Linked DNA regions of Lonchura striata. The protein of the gene in region 1 interacts with the protein of each later gene in a biochemical or structural test. Links are inferred from orthologs where the notes say so. Each region holds a gene or a part of one and is shown in the gene's direction. Other genes may lie near its edges.

What was found.
Region 2: the proteins of BCL2L1 (region 1) and VDAC1 form a complex in vitro, tested with the Homo sapiens proteins (4 studies listed by BioGRID). The link is inferred for Lonchura striata from reciprocal best matches to the Homo sapiens genes BCL2L1 and VDAC1.

Annotation. Positions count from the first base shown.
Region 1 is NC_134619.1:7,570,026-7,577,727, reverse strand, and holds the start of BCL2L1 (bcl-2-like protein 1), read left to right. Parts: upstream 1-4,601; 5' UTR 4,602-4,769; intron 4,770-4,867; exon of another isoform or gene 4,868-4,921; intron 4,922-5,335; exon of another isoform or gene 5,336-5,466; intron 5,467-5,710; exon of another isoform or gene 5,711-5,715; 5' UTR 5,716-5,821; coding exon 5,822-6,376; intron 6,377-7,702. UniProt on the Homo sapiens protein: Potent inhibitor of cell death. Inhibits activation of caspases. Appears to regulate cell death by blocking the voltage-dependent anion channel (VDAC) by binding to it and preventing the release of the caspase activator, CYC1, from the mitochondrial membrane.
Region 2 is NC_134617.1:9,728,492-9,735,427, forward strand, and holds the start of VDAC1 (non-selective voltage-gated ion channel VDAC1), read left to right. Parts: upstream 1-3,886; 5' UTR 3,887-3,995; intron 3,996-6,936. UniProt on the Homo sapiens protein: Non-selective voltage-gated ion channel that mediates the transport of anions and cations through the mitochondrion outer membrane and plasma membrane.

The DNA of each region.
Region 1 (7,702 bases):
AAACCAACTGTAACTGAGCTCGAGACATGGCTGGAATCAAATGCTTTCCTACCGCCCTTAATCAAGATAGAATTTCTGTCAACACTTTAGACTTTTTTAAAAATCAAATGCGTCATCTGCATTCTCCCCTCACCCTCTCCAGTCAGAGTCAGAGCTCTGGGCATCATGTTTCACAGCTACTTGTGCCCACTGCTACATTGCTGCAGTTTGCAGCTTTTTACTGAGTAGAGCCCATATTCCACAGTGTCACCACCCTCATCATCGACCTCATTGCTGACCACTCTCTCTCCCCTCTATCCCAGACAGAAGAGAATAGTCAGGAAAAGAAAAGGATTGTATCGCTGCCTCAGTTTCATACTCTGTTTCTTGAAAGAGACAACTGGGAGATAACAGTTATTGTGACTGCGCTCCAGAAAGTTCATTCAGTCAGATGAACTCATGACATCTGCTTCTGAAATCCCCACATATCCTCCAAGTCCTGCCCGGAACAGGACTGAGGGTGAAGCAGCAGCTCACTGAGAGGCATCCTGCTCCTCCACCCACCGACTCGGGCTGGGACAGGATCAGCCAGGAATGCCCCGGTGATTTATCACTCCTGTGCCCACCATGAGGTATCTGCAATGCCAACAGGCTCTGCCAAGCACAGCCCAACACCCGCTGCCCACTCCCTGCAGGCATTTTAAAACACACAGTTGTGATTTTGACAGCTCAACCACATTTATCTCAATCCAAAATTCTTTCTCTCCACTGCAGCACTCATCCACCGGAAAGGAGGCGTGGAAATTTTTCCTCATTAATAGGGACTTTCCCTAATTAGCAGGCACTGTGTGCATTTCCCAGGCGTGATTACAGGCACGCTGTAATCCTACACAGCTCGGCGTGGACTTAAAGCATGACCTTGCTCTCCCCCACATCCATCACCTCCTGTGTCGACACGGGTGTCTGCAGCGAGCCAGCCGGGGAACCCTCACCCCCGTTCTGCAGGATCGGCTTTCACCTGGTTTGCAGAGCTGCTGAGGCAGGAAAGGAAGATCTGATCTTCTCGCCTGCAAAAAGACCCCAAATTCCTTCTATAAAGTGACTACTTAATTAAAATCTTCATTTTCTTTCTAGGTCTCCTCTCTCACTGACCTAAAAGTGCCTCCAGAGCAGCACAGCTGTATCCACAGGGAGGAATAGGCAGTGGGTTCCTCTAGACATCAGGTTTCTTTTGAGTAACTACACTTTGGCACGTTCCAGAAGAGTGCCTTGGCATGGTTTAGATTAGTTAGCTTTGAAAAAGGATTACAGTAAATTGGAACAAGCATTCCTATCCCAGAATAAGACTGATCCAACAGCAAGTGCAATAGGTATTTTGGAATAACTTCACACCTCGCTGTAATCCAAATTAGCTTTAAAATTCTGACACAATTCCATCACAGATGTGTTCAGTGTGTTTGTCTCACTGAAATTGTGAATTTTGTTCCAACAGCACAATCTGCCTGGACAAAGAAGCCTCCTAGCCATTCAGGCCATGGTTGGAGATAGGATGCAGCATTCCAACATGAGAAATCAAGGTCAGAGGGAGAGAAAATGGAGGAGTGTGGGAGAGTAGCAAGGACAGGATAGTGATAGGGACACCAAAAGGTTGCAATAAGACAAGTGGGAATGGCTTCAAACTAAAAGAGGAGAGGTTTAGATTGGATATTAGGGAGAAATTCTTCCCTGTAAGGGTGGTAAGGCTCTGGCAAGGGTTGCCCAGAGAAGCTGTGGCTGTCCCTGGAAGTGTTAAAGGCCAGGTTGGATAGGGCTGGTCCAGTGTCTCTGCCCAGAATGGTGATGGGAGTTTGGAACAAGATGAGCTTTAAGGTCCCTTCCAACCCAACTCAGTCTGGATCCTGAGGAAGGCAGAGTTCTGCTCTTTCTTGCCACCTTGCAATGTAGATAAGGCCCTGGTGAACTGGAGATGATGCCTTATCACCACACACCACTGGAACTTCACAAGTGACAGATGTTACTTATGGCAAATCCTAACAGGATCAGAAAGCACAATAAACAATAACAAACACACAAGAAGCTAGTCTAAGTTACATCAGCAGATAAACACAAAGGCAGCCGATCCACATGCCTCAGAACCCAAAAGAGGAAACCAGGAATGAACAAGAGAAGCTTCCCCAAGGCCGAGGCAGCTGCATGGGAATGTGCTCCAGCAATTCCAGGGCCTTCTGCTGGGCTTCAACACCAGCTGCCACTTAAACAGAGGAGGCTGCACTAACCAGGCAGCTTTAATTCAGCCTGGCAGCTTCTTCATTGTCCTGCACCTTAGAGTTTTCTGTTCTTTTTATTGGGATAATAATCCAAAGGTCTTGGATGCTTTCCAGGGTTTAACATGTAAGTTGGAGCATTAGAAATGGATTTACAACAGCCTAGCGAGAACCATCCCACCACAAAGCCATCATCTGAACTCCCTCTGCGTGACACTGACAGCCTCAGAAAGTCACCCTTCATCCTTGCTTTTCCCTGAGCAGGGTGGAAGTGAACACTTCCAACACACTCTGGATCTACAGCTTCTCCCTCCTCTCTTGTGCCCCTTACTCAAAGATCAACTAGGCTTTTCTGCAGCACACAATCAGCAATGGATCCACTACCTCCCAGAACGCTGCTGTTCCATCATTTAATTCTCAAACTGGGAGAAAAGGCCTTTAACTCTCCTCAGGTGAGAGCTGAGCCCGCAGAAAGCTCCGCAGACCACCCCGACCGGCAGCCAAGGCAGGGGCGAAGGGCAGGCACAGCCTTTGCTCTGCTAACGGCCCAGACCCGCCCCCATTCCCAAAAATAAACAGCCCTGACATCTCGTGCTCCCTAAAAAAGATCCCACAAGTTTCAGAAGACATAAAGATGGTACATTCTAAGAATAGACGTTCAGGGAAAATAAAATTATTTTTAGCTACCATAACCTCAACTAATTGTTACATTAAGTTGAAGGTCTTCAAGCTTAAAAAAAGCCCCAGATAAAAATAGTACCCCGAATGTTTTTTTCTGATACTTGGGCCAGGTTTTGCCTGGTTTGCTTCCCTCCTTTTCCTGGGAAGGGGGATTTGGACTGAGACATTACAGAGCTTTCCGCCGTGAAATACACTGTTTCATCAGATTGCGTGACTGTTGAAAAACTTAGAACTTTATTTCACTGCCGAGGCACCCACCCCACCGTAAGGCACACGCCGGGAGCTCCGGTACCGCGATCCCCGCCAGGGGAACGGGAACCGCCCGCCACGGCGGCTCCTCCCGCTGCCGCCCGGGGGCACCGGGCTCGGCTTCCCCGGACAACACGGTGTTCGTAACCAGCCCCCGGGGCTCCGTTACGAGCCCGCCCGCCAGACCGCGATAGCGGCTCCGGCCACGGGCTGAGCGCCCGGAGCCGCCTTCCGTCGCCGTTTCCCAGCCGAGCCCTCGGCCCCGTTACCAATACCTGGGCTCGGAGTAGGCCTGGGGAACAGCCGCAGCGAGAGAACGACCAGATATGGAGAAGGGCTGCGGGTTGGGAAGGAGAGGCGAGGCCGGGGGTGCCCGGCCGGCGCCCCGCACTCACCTCAGCAGCGCCGCCGCCACTCCGCGCGGCGCCTCTGCCGCCGCCGTTAACGGATTTCAAACAGGACCCCGCAGTCCGAACTCACCAATCAGCGCCCGGCACACGCCCTTTGAGGCGCGCTGATTGGCTGGACCCCTTCAGGACCCGGATAATCAGACCCCAAGCAACGCAGTTGCGCTCTCCCTGCAAAGTCTGACGGGAAATGTAGTACGTGCTTGCACAGCGCCACAATGACCGGGCGAGAACCGAACCACAACTCACATAACGCACTGCGGGACCTAGTAGACCAATCAGAAAAGGGGATGCCTTGAGTGTCGTTCCGGGTGGCCTATCAGCGACTGGCGGGCGGGACCCCGGAGCCAGTGTCAGCCGGTACGGCCGCGGGGCCGGGCAGGAGCCTGCCGGAGCCGGGCTCAGGTACGGCGGCTGTATCAGTGTCCGCTGCCCGGCTTCCACCCGCTGTTCCTCAGCAGATCAGCCTTCGGACTGCTGGGCCCGGGAAAGGCGGCTTCCGCCGTCTGGTAAGCCCGGCTAGGTTTCTCGATGCTGTGAGGACAAAGTGCCATTTGCGCAGTGGCGTTTTCGACCCCAAGTAGTGCATAATCTTCCCCGCAGTGCTGCAGAGGGATGGGTAGCCAGCTGTTAACGGCGGGGCAGGCCCCTGCTGCCACAGTCGCTTTCACAGCTTCGGCACTACCCCCATAAACCTCCCCTCACAATCCCAGCACGGGCTCCCTGAGCACTGTGGAGACACAAAACACCCCACGTTAATCCCGGAGTGCTCTGAGGGGTTTGCAGCCGTGTCAGCGGCAGGGCCGTGTCCGCAGGGCGCGGCGAGAGCGGAGGCCCGAGCTGCCACCGCCGCGGCCGGCAGGGGGCGCCGGAGCTCCGCCCTCCGCCCGGCACATTCGCGCATGCGCACCGGCCCAGCCGGCGTGGCGCGTGCGCGCCGTGCCCCCGCGCAGTCCAACCGACGCTCTTCGCCCAGCCTCAGAGCGCTGTGCGCATGCGCACCGCCCCTCTGCTGCCCCCTCCCACCCTACCGCACCCCCCCGGCCGCTCGGCGGGCGATGTGGAAAGGATCCGGGGACTGCTGAGCGGGCCGAGCCCCGGCGGGGCTCCCGGCGACCTCCGGCGTCGCTGCCAGCCGGGCCCGCCCAGCAGAGCCGGGAAGGACGCGGACCCTCAGTCGGGCGCTGAGGTGAGGGGCGGGGTAGGGTGAAGCTTGAGTGACGCGCGGCTCGGCCAAAGGGAGCGGCCGCGGCCGGGCCCCGCCCCTCGCGGCCGCTGATTGGCTGGCGTGTCGGCCGCGCGGGCGCCCTGTCGGCCCTCGTGCGCGGCCCCGCCCCCCAGGTACGGCGACCGGTGGGGCCGTCCCGGGGCCGGGGGGGCGGTGCGGGGCTCCGGGGGACGCGGTCCGGTGGGGGGGTGGGGGGCAGTCTGCTGCTCGGGAGGACCGGGTACCCCCTGCGGCGCTCCCGCCTGCCGCTGCCCGGCGTGTCACCGTCCCGGCCCCAGCGGCTACGCGCCGCTAACCGTGACTGGAATCGCTCCCGTAGGGACGCGAGGCCGTGCGGCGGCTCCCGCGGTGCCGAGCGCTCGCCGGCTTTCAGCGGTTTATGCTCTCCGCCTGCGAGGGGAGAGGGGCTTCGGGGTGGCGGGGGGCTGCGGTGACCATCAAACCGGGCCGCCCCGGGGCTGCCGTGGTCCTTGGGTAGCGCTGCCCGCCCGCTGCCGTGGCTAACGCCGGCGGAGGGGGCGGGGGCGCCGGGCCCTTTAACGGGCGGGGCGAGGCGGGGGCGGTGCTGTCGCGTTCCGGGCCGACCCGAAGCTCCAGCAGAACAAGAACCGCCTCCGCCCCGGCCCGCAGCCGGCCTGCCAGGCGCAGCCCGCACCCGGTGAGATCTGGGGTCTGCTCGGAACGAGCTTGTGGGGGGTCCCCGGGGCTCAAGGCTGCTTTCCGGGGAAGGGGGTTGGTTGTGGTCGGTTCTCTGTGCAGCTTCAATCTGGTGGCCCTGAGCCTCGGCGTAGAGCTGCGGGGTGATCTCAGTATAACGATAAGCTATCGGTGGTAATGGCGCGGGTGCATCTAAGAGCTGTGGCATTAACCGTTTCGGTGCCTCTCTCCTCATCTGTGCTAAGGTCAGATGCTTCCATCGGTCGCGAGGAAGAGGAGTGGAGTCGGGACCTGCTAAGTGCTGATCAGCTTGTGCTCCGGACCATGGACTCATTGAGGGCGTCCCAGGTGTGAAAATGTACAGCAGTAACCGGGAGTTAGTGATTGACTTTGTTTCCTACAAGCTCTCACAGAAAGGATACAGCTGGAGTCAGCTGGAAGAGGAGGATGAGAACAGGACTGACTTTGCAGGGGAGGAGGACGAGATGGACGGGGTCCTCAACGGGAGCCCCTCCTGGCACGCGGCCACCAGCCACATAGTGAATGGAGCCACCGTGCACCAGAGCAGCCTCGAAGTCCATGAGATCCGTCGAGCAGCCGATGTGAGGCAGGCACTGAGAGAGGCAGGGGATGAGTTTGAGCTGAGGTACCGGCGGGCGTTCAGCGACCTCACTTCCCAGCTCCACATCACTCCCAGCACAGCGTATCAGAGCTTTGAGCAGGTAGTGAACGAACTGTTCCGCGATGGAGTGAACTGGGGCCGCATCGTGGCTTTCTTCTCCTTCGGAGGAGCCTTGTGCGTGGAGAGCGTTGTTAAGGAGATGAGGGTATTGGTGAAACGCATCGTGTCTTGGATGACCACGTACTTGACCGACCACTTAGATCCCTGGATCCAGGAGAATGGCGGATGGGTAAGATCACCTCTCTGTGCTGGGGCTGGCTGCCCAAGCCTTCCCTTGCTCCAGGCTGGCAGTGGAGCTGGTCAAGCTGGAGTGCAGCTCCCTGCAATGTATATGCTAGAGCTTGTCCTACTCCTTGCAGGGAGAATAAAGGGGTGTGTGGTCTTGCCTTCTGTGCTCTAAACACTGTCCCAAGAGGGCCAACGCACCGTGTTGACACAGTCTGTGCTCAGATATGTCTTTCTCCATCCCTCCTTTTTCTCCTTCTCCCTGGATGTTATGTAAAAGACCTGTTTTTCCAAGAGCCTTTGGAAATCTAATGTCATCCAAGCTTGTTCTTCAAGCAGAGCCATGGCTCTGGGGCATGTTCTTGGTGTCATTAACAGCAGGGAGTGGAGCTTCCTCCTCTCAAAGCCAGCGTTGTGGTGGGCTGGCTGGTGGTTTGCTGAGGTAACAGCTACTTCTTCATTCTGGAAACAGCATTTGCCTTGCTCATGGTGAAGTGAATCCCACAGCAGATCCCGGGGGGTGGGTGGGCTTCTAGGACTGTCTGAGCTGGTGTGGTGGGAGCCAGAGCTGAGGTGGAGGCAACCTCTGTGCTGGGGAGCTCTAAGCCTGCAGCTGCTTTTCCCTTGGCAGGGAGCAGTGCTCCCAGCTGCCCCAGCAGCAAACCCTGGGAGCTCTCAGTGGTGAGGTATTAACATGAATAAGCATTTCTTCAGGAAGCATTCTTGAAATGCCGGGTCCGGCTGTGCGGTGCAGCCTGGGACTGCCGGCGGGAGGTATATGACCTACAGATGTCTGAGTTTTCATTTGGCTTCTGCATCTTAGTGATTCCCTGCTGGTGTAACCTTTACCGGTTCCCATTGGAAAGAGTTCATGCTGTCAGGCATTGGCATCTAAACAGTGGGGAATTGCCTCCTTGCTGGGAGCTGAGGCCTCTTGGCCCCCTTCAGCTCACGGTCCATTGGCAGAGCCCAGCATTTTGGGAAGGGGACAGGAGCCTTTGAGCCCAGTGCTGTGTTCTGTGCCCTCCTCACAGAGAAGAGGCTCTCCCCAGCTCCCCGTGCCTGGCCAGCAATGCTGGGGACCCCAGAGATGAAGGGGAGAGCTGGTGCACCCAGGGAGAGGGAGGTAGTTCAGGAAGACTGAAAGAATTCCAGGAATGTGACCGCCCTGGGGCACTGCCTGGGTGGGGCTGCTCAGGCAAGGAGCGGAGCTTGGTTTCGATTAGTAGCCCGGGATCTGCTGGCCATTTCATCTGGCTGTATGTGGCCCATTAGCTCTCTCATCCTGCAGATAACCCTGGCCAAATACGGAGTTCCTTCCCCCTCCCTC
Region 2 (6,936 bases), on another chromosome or scaffold:
CTGGGTAAAAATGTTTATTCTGGCACAGAGATGCTCTGTGGAGCTGTGTAGGCATTCCCAGTTCAGGGTTTTCTGCAGTGGAAACAACCTGTCTGACATGAGCACAGCAGGCAGTGAGGGCTTGGCTCTGAGCAACACAGCCTGGCTTGAGTTTATCAGTGTAAGGGCATGAAGATATGTTTACATAGTGTGATACCCAGCAGCGAGGCATCCTTGCTTATTTTATGATTCCATCAGCATGTTCTTGACTGATGATGAATGGATTCCTTGCAGGTTAACAAGCTGAAAATGTTTTTGTTATGAAAGAGAGCCAAATCAAACTTTATTGAACAAATACATCTTGGATCTCTGGCTAGTGAGTTTTTCTGCTGTTCAAACATGTTATGTGATGTGAATGAAATTGCAGTTGAATTAGACTTAGCTGTTCATGTAGAATTCACAAGCTGCATTTTTTTTTTTTTTTCCTCACAGCTTTATTTTAGGCAGGTAAGTTATTTTTGGAGGAAATGACAGTTTTGAACAATTTGGCTATGTAAAAGTGATTATTGAAAATAGTATTTACTGGTCCCATTTTATGAAGAAATTGAATCAGTAGCATACTTGGAAATGCAAAAGGGCTGATTCTTCCATGCTTCCCAACACTAACTCCTGAATAAAACACTTGTTTTGTGGTTTGCTTTGTAAAGATGTGCCCTGTCAGGGAGCACAGGGCACAGCTCCTGCAAGCCCAGCCCCAGGACTGTCACCAGAGCTGAGTGCAGCCCACAGTTTGGTACCTGCAATGACTCTACTAACTTTGATCTATTCCCAGCTAATTTGGTATGAATAGTATCAGAACCAGGGTTATGTCTATATCCATTAGTGATGCAGAACAGAGCTTAAAAATAATCTTCCACTGACATGCAGATTTATATAATGAAAGATGGGGCAATTGGAGATTTCTCCAGCAAACTGGTGTTAAACAAGCTGCTCTGAGTTCTCAAGACCTAAAGCCTGTGATGGAAAAAGAACATTTAGACAGATCCTGTATGTGAATGATTTGTGGAATTATTGTTAGTCAAATCTATTATGATGCACTCTGTTCTATTTTCACCTGTTAAAATAAATTAAGCTGTAGCATTACTAAAAACTAAGAACTGCCAAGATAAAAGAAGGAACTGACACATAGAGCATTTAGGAGATTTCTTATACTGTAGAAGGAATTTGTAAAATTTAAACTGAAGTCACAAGCACAGATTTTCTCCATTAAGAACATTTAGTGTGATTCTCCTGTTCTTCTGGCACTCCCCAGGATAATCTACAGTTTTTAACCTGTAGGAAAAATAGAGCCCAAGAGAGCAGACAGCACTGATGCTCAACTCCATATGAGGAGATTTGCTGCCATCTTTTGGTAGATGTGTGTTCTGGAAATTAAAGAAAAATTATCTCTCACAGATACGAAACACTTTGTCCCTCTGCTCATTCTTAACCCACTTGCAGCATCAGCCCCTGGAGGGATTTAAAATTGTGTAGACATGACATTTAGGGACAAGGTTTAGTGGTGGACTTTGCAGTGCTGGGTTAACAGTTGGACTTGATGATCTTCAAGGCGTTTCCAATCTAAATCATCCCATGACTGTGATTCTGTGCACTCAGCCTCTACTGCAGAGGCAGCCTGTGAAAATTAATCTCGGCCAATGATACTCCAAGGAGCTCCCAAAAACCCTGTGCGTGCCTGTGGGGCTGGGAGGGCTCAGTGCAGGGCAGGGGCTGGGCTGGTTTCTTCATGGTCTGGCTGCTCAGAGAAAATCTGTAGGGAACAGGCTGCAATCTCTGCATGTTTACAAGTAATAAAATACTTATTGATGCCCAGAGGTAATAAAATAATATATTTGATCATGTGGGGCAGCAGGAGGTTGATGCATGGGGAGGGAGCAAGGCTGGGAGATAGTGCTCTAAAAATCACCCTCATTGCTATCAGATTTACCTTTGCAGAGGGCAAAGAGCTGAGGCTGCACTTTGGCAGGGGCAGGTTGAGGAGCTGCTGCTCAGGGTGAAAGTGCACCCTTGTGACCTGGTCAAAGGGATGTTGGGGAATGTCCTGTGCCCCTCCTCCCCTCCAGGGTCCTGCCTCTGCACCAGCAGCCTCCTCACTTCCCTTGCTCCTCTGACTCCTGGGGGAGGAGGTTCAATGCACCCCAGCAGAAAGCTGCCCACTGGTTTTTTGCTGGGCTACATTTTTTCATGGGACAGTGAGTGAAATCCAGAGCAGGTTTTGACAGGCCCCAGGATGCAGGAAAAGAGGGAAGGTACCAGCTTCTGCCAGAGAGAAAACTGAGAGGGTGTTGAGAGCTGGCACTTCACCCTGACTGCAACTCAGTGCTCTGGTTACAACACCCACACTCGTAGTGGTGCCTGGATCAACAAAATGACTGTGGTTAGAAGAACTTTCCAAATTTGAAAGAGGCCTCTTGTTTCCGTGGGTTCCTACCCTGGTGGTAGGCTGCACACTTTATTTTAATGTGGATTTGGTATCCAGCACAATTCCTTCAGCCTTAGCTGCCTCAGCTGCCTTTCTAAGGTCAATATGTGGCCACACACAATCCTTTCCCCTCTACCACCCTGTCATTCCTGAGATACCACTGAATTCCACAAGCCACTTCATTTTTTTATATACTTCAGTTCAACATTAAGTTCCTTGCAGGGTTTATTTAGTTGGAACCCTGACCAAAGTTCCCAAGTGCTGTGTGTGTGCTCAGCTGCATGAGTCCAACCTTGCTGCTGGGCTGTGCCAGAGCAGGCACCACGCACATGATGGGGTACAGCCCTGCCACGGCTGTGGGAGCAGTGCCTTTCAGAGAAATGCTGTTGGGAAAGCAAAGGTATGAGCCAGCTAAGAGCACAAGCAGGGAAACTTCCTACTCTCGCCATCCATTGACGCTGTGCAAGGGAGAAAAAGCAGGAAAGAACTAATTAAAAACCAAACCAAAACAATGTTCTCATGAGTGGGATGTAGACTCTCAGCAATGATTCTTTTTTTGATACAGATATCCCTTGCATGGTGGGGGCAGAAGGGTGACCATCAGCAGTTTCCTGGCTGAGATGATTCCCCTGTTTGTCTTGTGGGTGATGCTCTGTGTGTCCCAGGGACCTCCAACAGTGCAGGACTGGGTTGATATCTCATCTTGAAAGTAGCCCAGTTCCACCTCTGTTCCCTCTGATAGCAGATCACTCCCTGCCTGAGTGTTTTGTTACCAGAAGAGTGTTGCTCTGGACCCAGTCCAGCTTCCCTGTGAGCTGTGAGGGCCGATTTGTGTATCTGAGGGAGAGTTAGGAAAGCTGTCAGCTCCCTAATTCATGAGAGCCTCTCCACGCCCCACAGCCAGTCCCCACGGGGGGAGTCATGCTGCCTCGCTGGCCCCTGGCCCCCTGACAGCTCCTTTGGACACTCACCAGATATCACACACAGCCTCACCTGCTCACAGATCCTCTTTCAAATCCTCCCTTCCTCCTTTCCCACCACTCTTGCCTCAACCAGGATACGGGGAATTGAAATTTTAACAAGACGGGGAGTTAGAATTAAATTCTAAATTGAAATCTAGGCAATTTTAATTTATCCAATTCAGACTAAATGGGGACTTTCATCGAATCAGTATGGTTTGGCTGGGAAGGGTCCTCTAAAAGTCACCTCGTCTGGTTTCCCGCAGAGCCCGGGATTCTGGTACCCAGGCGGCTGCAGATGCCCCGGGTGGCGCCGGGGCTGGCGCTGGCGCATCCCGCGGATGCCGCAGCCGCGGGCCGGTGCGGGGAGGCGCAGCCGGGCGCCCGGGGAGCGGCCCCGCAGCCCGGGCCGCCCCGCCCGCCGCGCCGCGCCGCCCGCCGGTCCCGCCCGCCGGTCCCGCCCGCCGTCACGCACCGCCGCCGTCGCAGAGCCCGGGGCGGCACCGGGCAGGGGCAGCCGCCGCCGGAGGAGGCCGAGGCGGAGCGGAGCGCAGCTGCCGCCGCGGCGGGGGCAGGTAGGGCTGTCCCGGGAGGGGGTCCCGGGCCGCGGGGCGATGCGGGCGGCGGGAGCGGGCCCGGGGCACGCGTGGGAGCGGGGGCAGCCCGCAGCGCCCCGGGCGGGTTTGCCCACCCGCGGCCCGGCGGAACGGGGATAAAACGGTGTCCTTACGTAATGCCGAGCCTTGCGACACGGGGGCCTGCTGGGGAGGCGCGGGTGGCCGGGACATCGCGGCCGGCGGGAGCGGGGCGCGGCGGGGTCCCGGCGCCGCATCCCGGGATGCCGCCGGGCGCAGCGGGGCCGAGCTCAGCGAACCGGGCGCTGCCCCGTGCCGGGAGGAGAAGGGTCACAGGGCCACGGCAGCCGTGCGGCTCCTGACGAGCGCTTCAGCGTGCGGGATCGTTCTGCTCCTTCCCGGGAAGCAAAGGTCGAAGGTGGCCGTACCTGCCCGCGTTTAGCACCTTCTTGGCTCTGGCATCCTTTTCACCTCGCTCTTCTGCACCCCCGGCATCCTTCTTGCGGGTTGGCAAATTCGTTCTGATATATACCAAAACCTCAAGTCAAGCAGGCAAACTGATTTATTCTTCCATTTCATTCTGCTTATTCTCAGAATAGAGGTTTGTACTTGTGGGGAATTATATTAGTTTAAAAATCCCCATGTTTCTGCTTTCTGTTCCTGAGCACTGTGGGGCCACAGCAGCAGCTGCCTCAATTCTGCCTTGTCACAGCCCTTGCTGGGAACAACTCTTGCTGGAGGGGGGAAAAGTCTTTGACTCATTCAGTCTTTAGGTATTTGCAAAATAATAAAAAACGGTAACAAATTTTTCAGAAAATGGAGTGGGGCTGACTCATCACCAGTGACCAATGCAGGGTTGCATCTCTGGGGAATATTTATAGTGATTCCAGCAGAAACAGATCCCAGCTTGTTTCTCAGATGCCTTAGTGAGAACAGAGGTGTGTTGCAGTTTGTTTTGTTGGGTACAGTGGATGGTTGAATAATCACCTTTCTCATGATGTTTCACCTGTGAATTTTTGTCAGAAATAGGCTTTTGCACTATTGCAATGACATTCCAGAATAATGCCTCCCTCCAGCACTCTCCATCAAAGGTTTGCACTGATCCACCGTTTCTTCCTGCCCGCATTTTGGGGTTTGTGTATGGGTGTGTGAAGGTATGGGGGACATCACTGTTGGCTGGTGTAGCAGCAGGAGAATGTCCCCAGCCCTGGCACTGTCAGGATGGAAGCAGGATGCACAGCTCAGGCTCTTCTTGGCATCTGCTGCAGGTAGGGAAAAACACATCCACCATTGGTAGCAGATGCTCCTTTTCTGTGTGAGCTGTCACATTGTGCTGGAAAACAAAATTCCATTTTAATTACTCATCCCCATTGATATGGTGCTGGGTGTTCCTGCAGTGGGGCTGGGAGCAAGGGACATGTCCCTTCCTGCATGCGCTGGCCTGGCCCCTGCCATGCTGGGGGCATGGGGTGGGACAGCAGCACTGTTCTTCTCCTCCTCCACAGGTATTTAACAGAAACAGGTTAATTTAACATGTGGGGATGTGGTTCTGTGTTCTTCCCTTGCAGTGTAGTAACTACAGTAGCTACAGCAAGCTGCAACACCCCCTAAGTTAATCAATACTTACATGTCATAGTTTAATAAGGGGTTGCCATACAACACTGCAGATCCTAATGTGTACCCATACAATTAAGAGCTGGCTGTCTCTTTCTTTAATTCCATAATTAGCATAGCCTAAATAATAATATTTACATTTGCTTTTAAGGGGTTTATTTCCTTTATGCTCCTCTCTTTATTGGGCTACAGAGGTACTGCATAAACCCATCTTTAAATCTGCACCTTCATGCATGCAGCTCCAGAGCAAAACTCCAGCAGGAGGGCTGGCATCCTGTGAGTGTCACAGGGATGCTGCATGGCCTTATAAAGCCTACAACAAAAGAAATTGTGGACTCCTAATCTTAAATTTTGAGTCATAATGGTGCATGGATTATATGGTGTTGGCATAGTAGCAAGTAGGGACAAAAAGTATTGTTAAGTATTGTATTTAATAATGCCGAGTATTTACAAACCACGTGCTTTTACTGGCTTCTCAAAAGCCTTGTGAATGTGCCCAACTTGATGTTTGACCTCTGTGTGACTGCGCATGTATTTAGGGGTAAGTGTGCTCTTAAATCTCTGCACAACGAGGCTGCTGAACCTGATCTGAAGCAGACTGTGGGCATGACTTGAAGGGATTTGGGATCTGGACCATAAAACCCAATGTGTGGAGCCAGCATGAGCTCCTCTGGGAGCCTGGGACGTTGTAGAGGGACGCTGGTGCCAAGTGGAGCTGGTTCCTCCAGGCAGCCATGAGACGTGGAGGGAGCTGGGCCCTGCTCTGAGAGCAAAGCCCCATCCTCTGAGGTGTATTGACACCACAACAGACATTGGCTGGGAAATGACACTGCCAGGCTGGGGGCCCAGAAAGGCACCTAAAAGCTGCTTCATTCCAAGGAATAATGTTTCCTTTATTGAAGGAGATAAATGAAAAATAAATTAGTATTCTTTTTAACGTTGAGGCAAAAGACCCTCATGTGGGTTTTTTCCCCCATGCAGACAGACTCTATCTGGTTGCTGTCTGTCCCTCCCAGCTGTTCCTAGCAGCTGTAATGTGTCCACCTTGCAAGTAGCAGCTTTTGCTACTTGCAAAAGTAGCAAGTACTATGCTACTTTCATGCTTTTGGAGACAGGGAGCTGGAATGTTCAGAACTACTGGTACCATCAAGAAATGGTACATGAGTTCAGATTTATTTGGAATAAAATGTGGCTACATAAGGACAAATCCAACCTTTTACTTCCTTAGCTTTCAATCTGATAGACTTCCCTTGTCTTCATAGGAATTTCATTCTTATAATGGACTTGATTCTTATCTTAAATTTTTAGATTGTTCCTTTCCCCATGT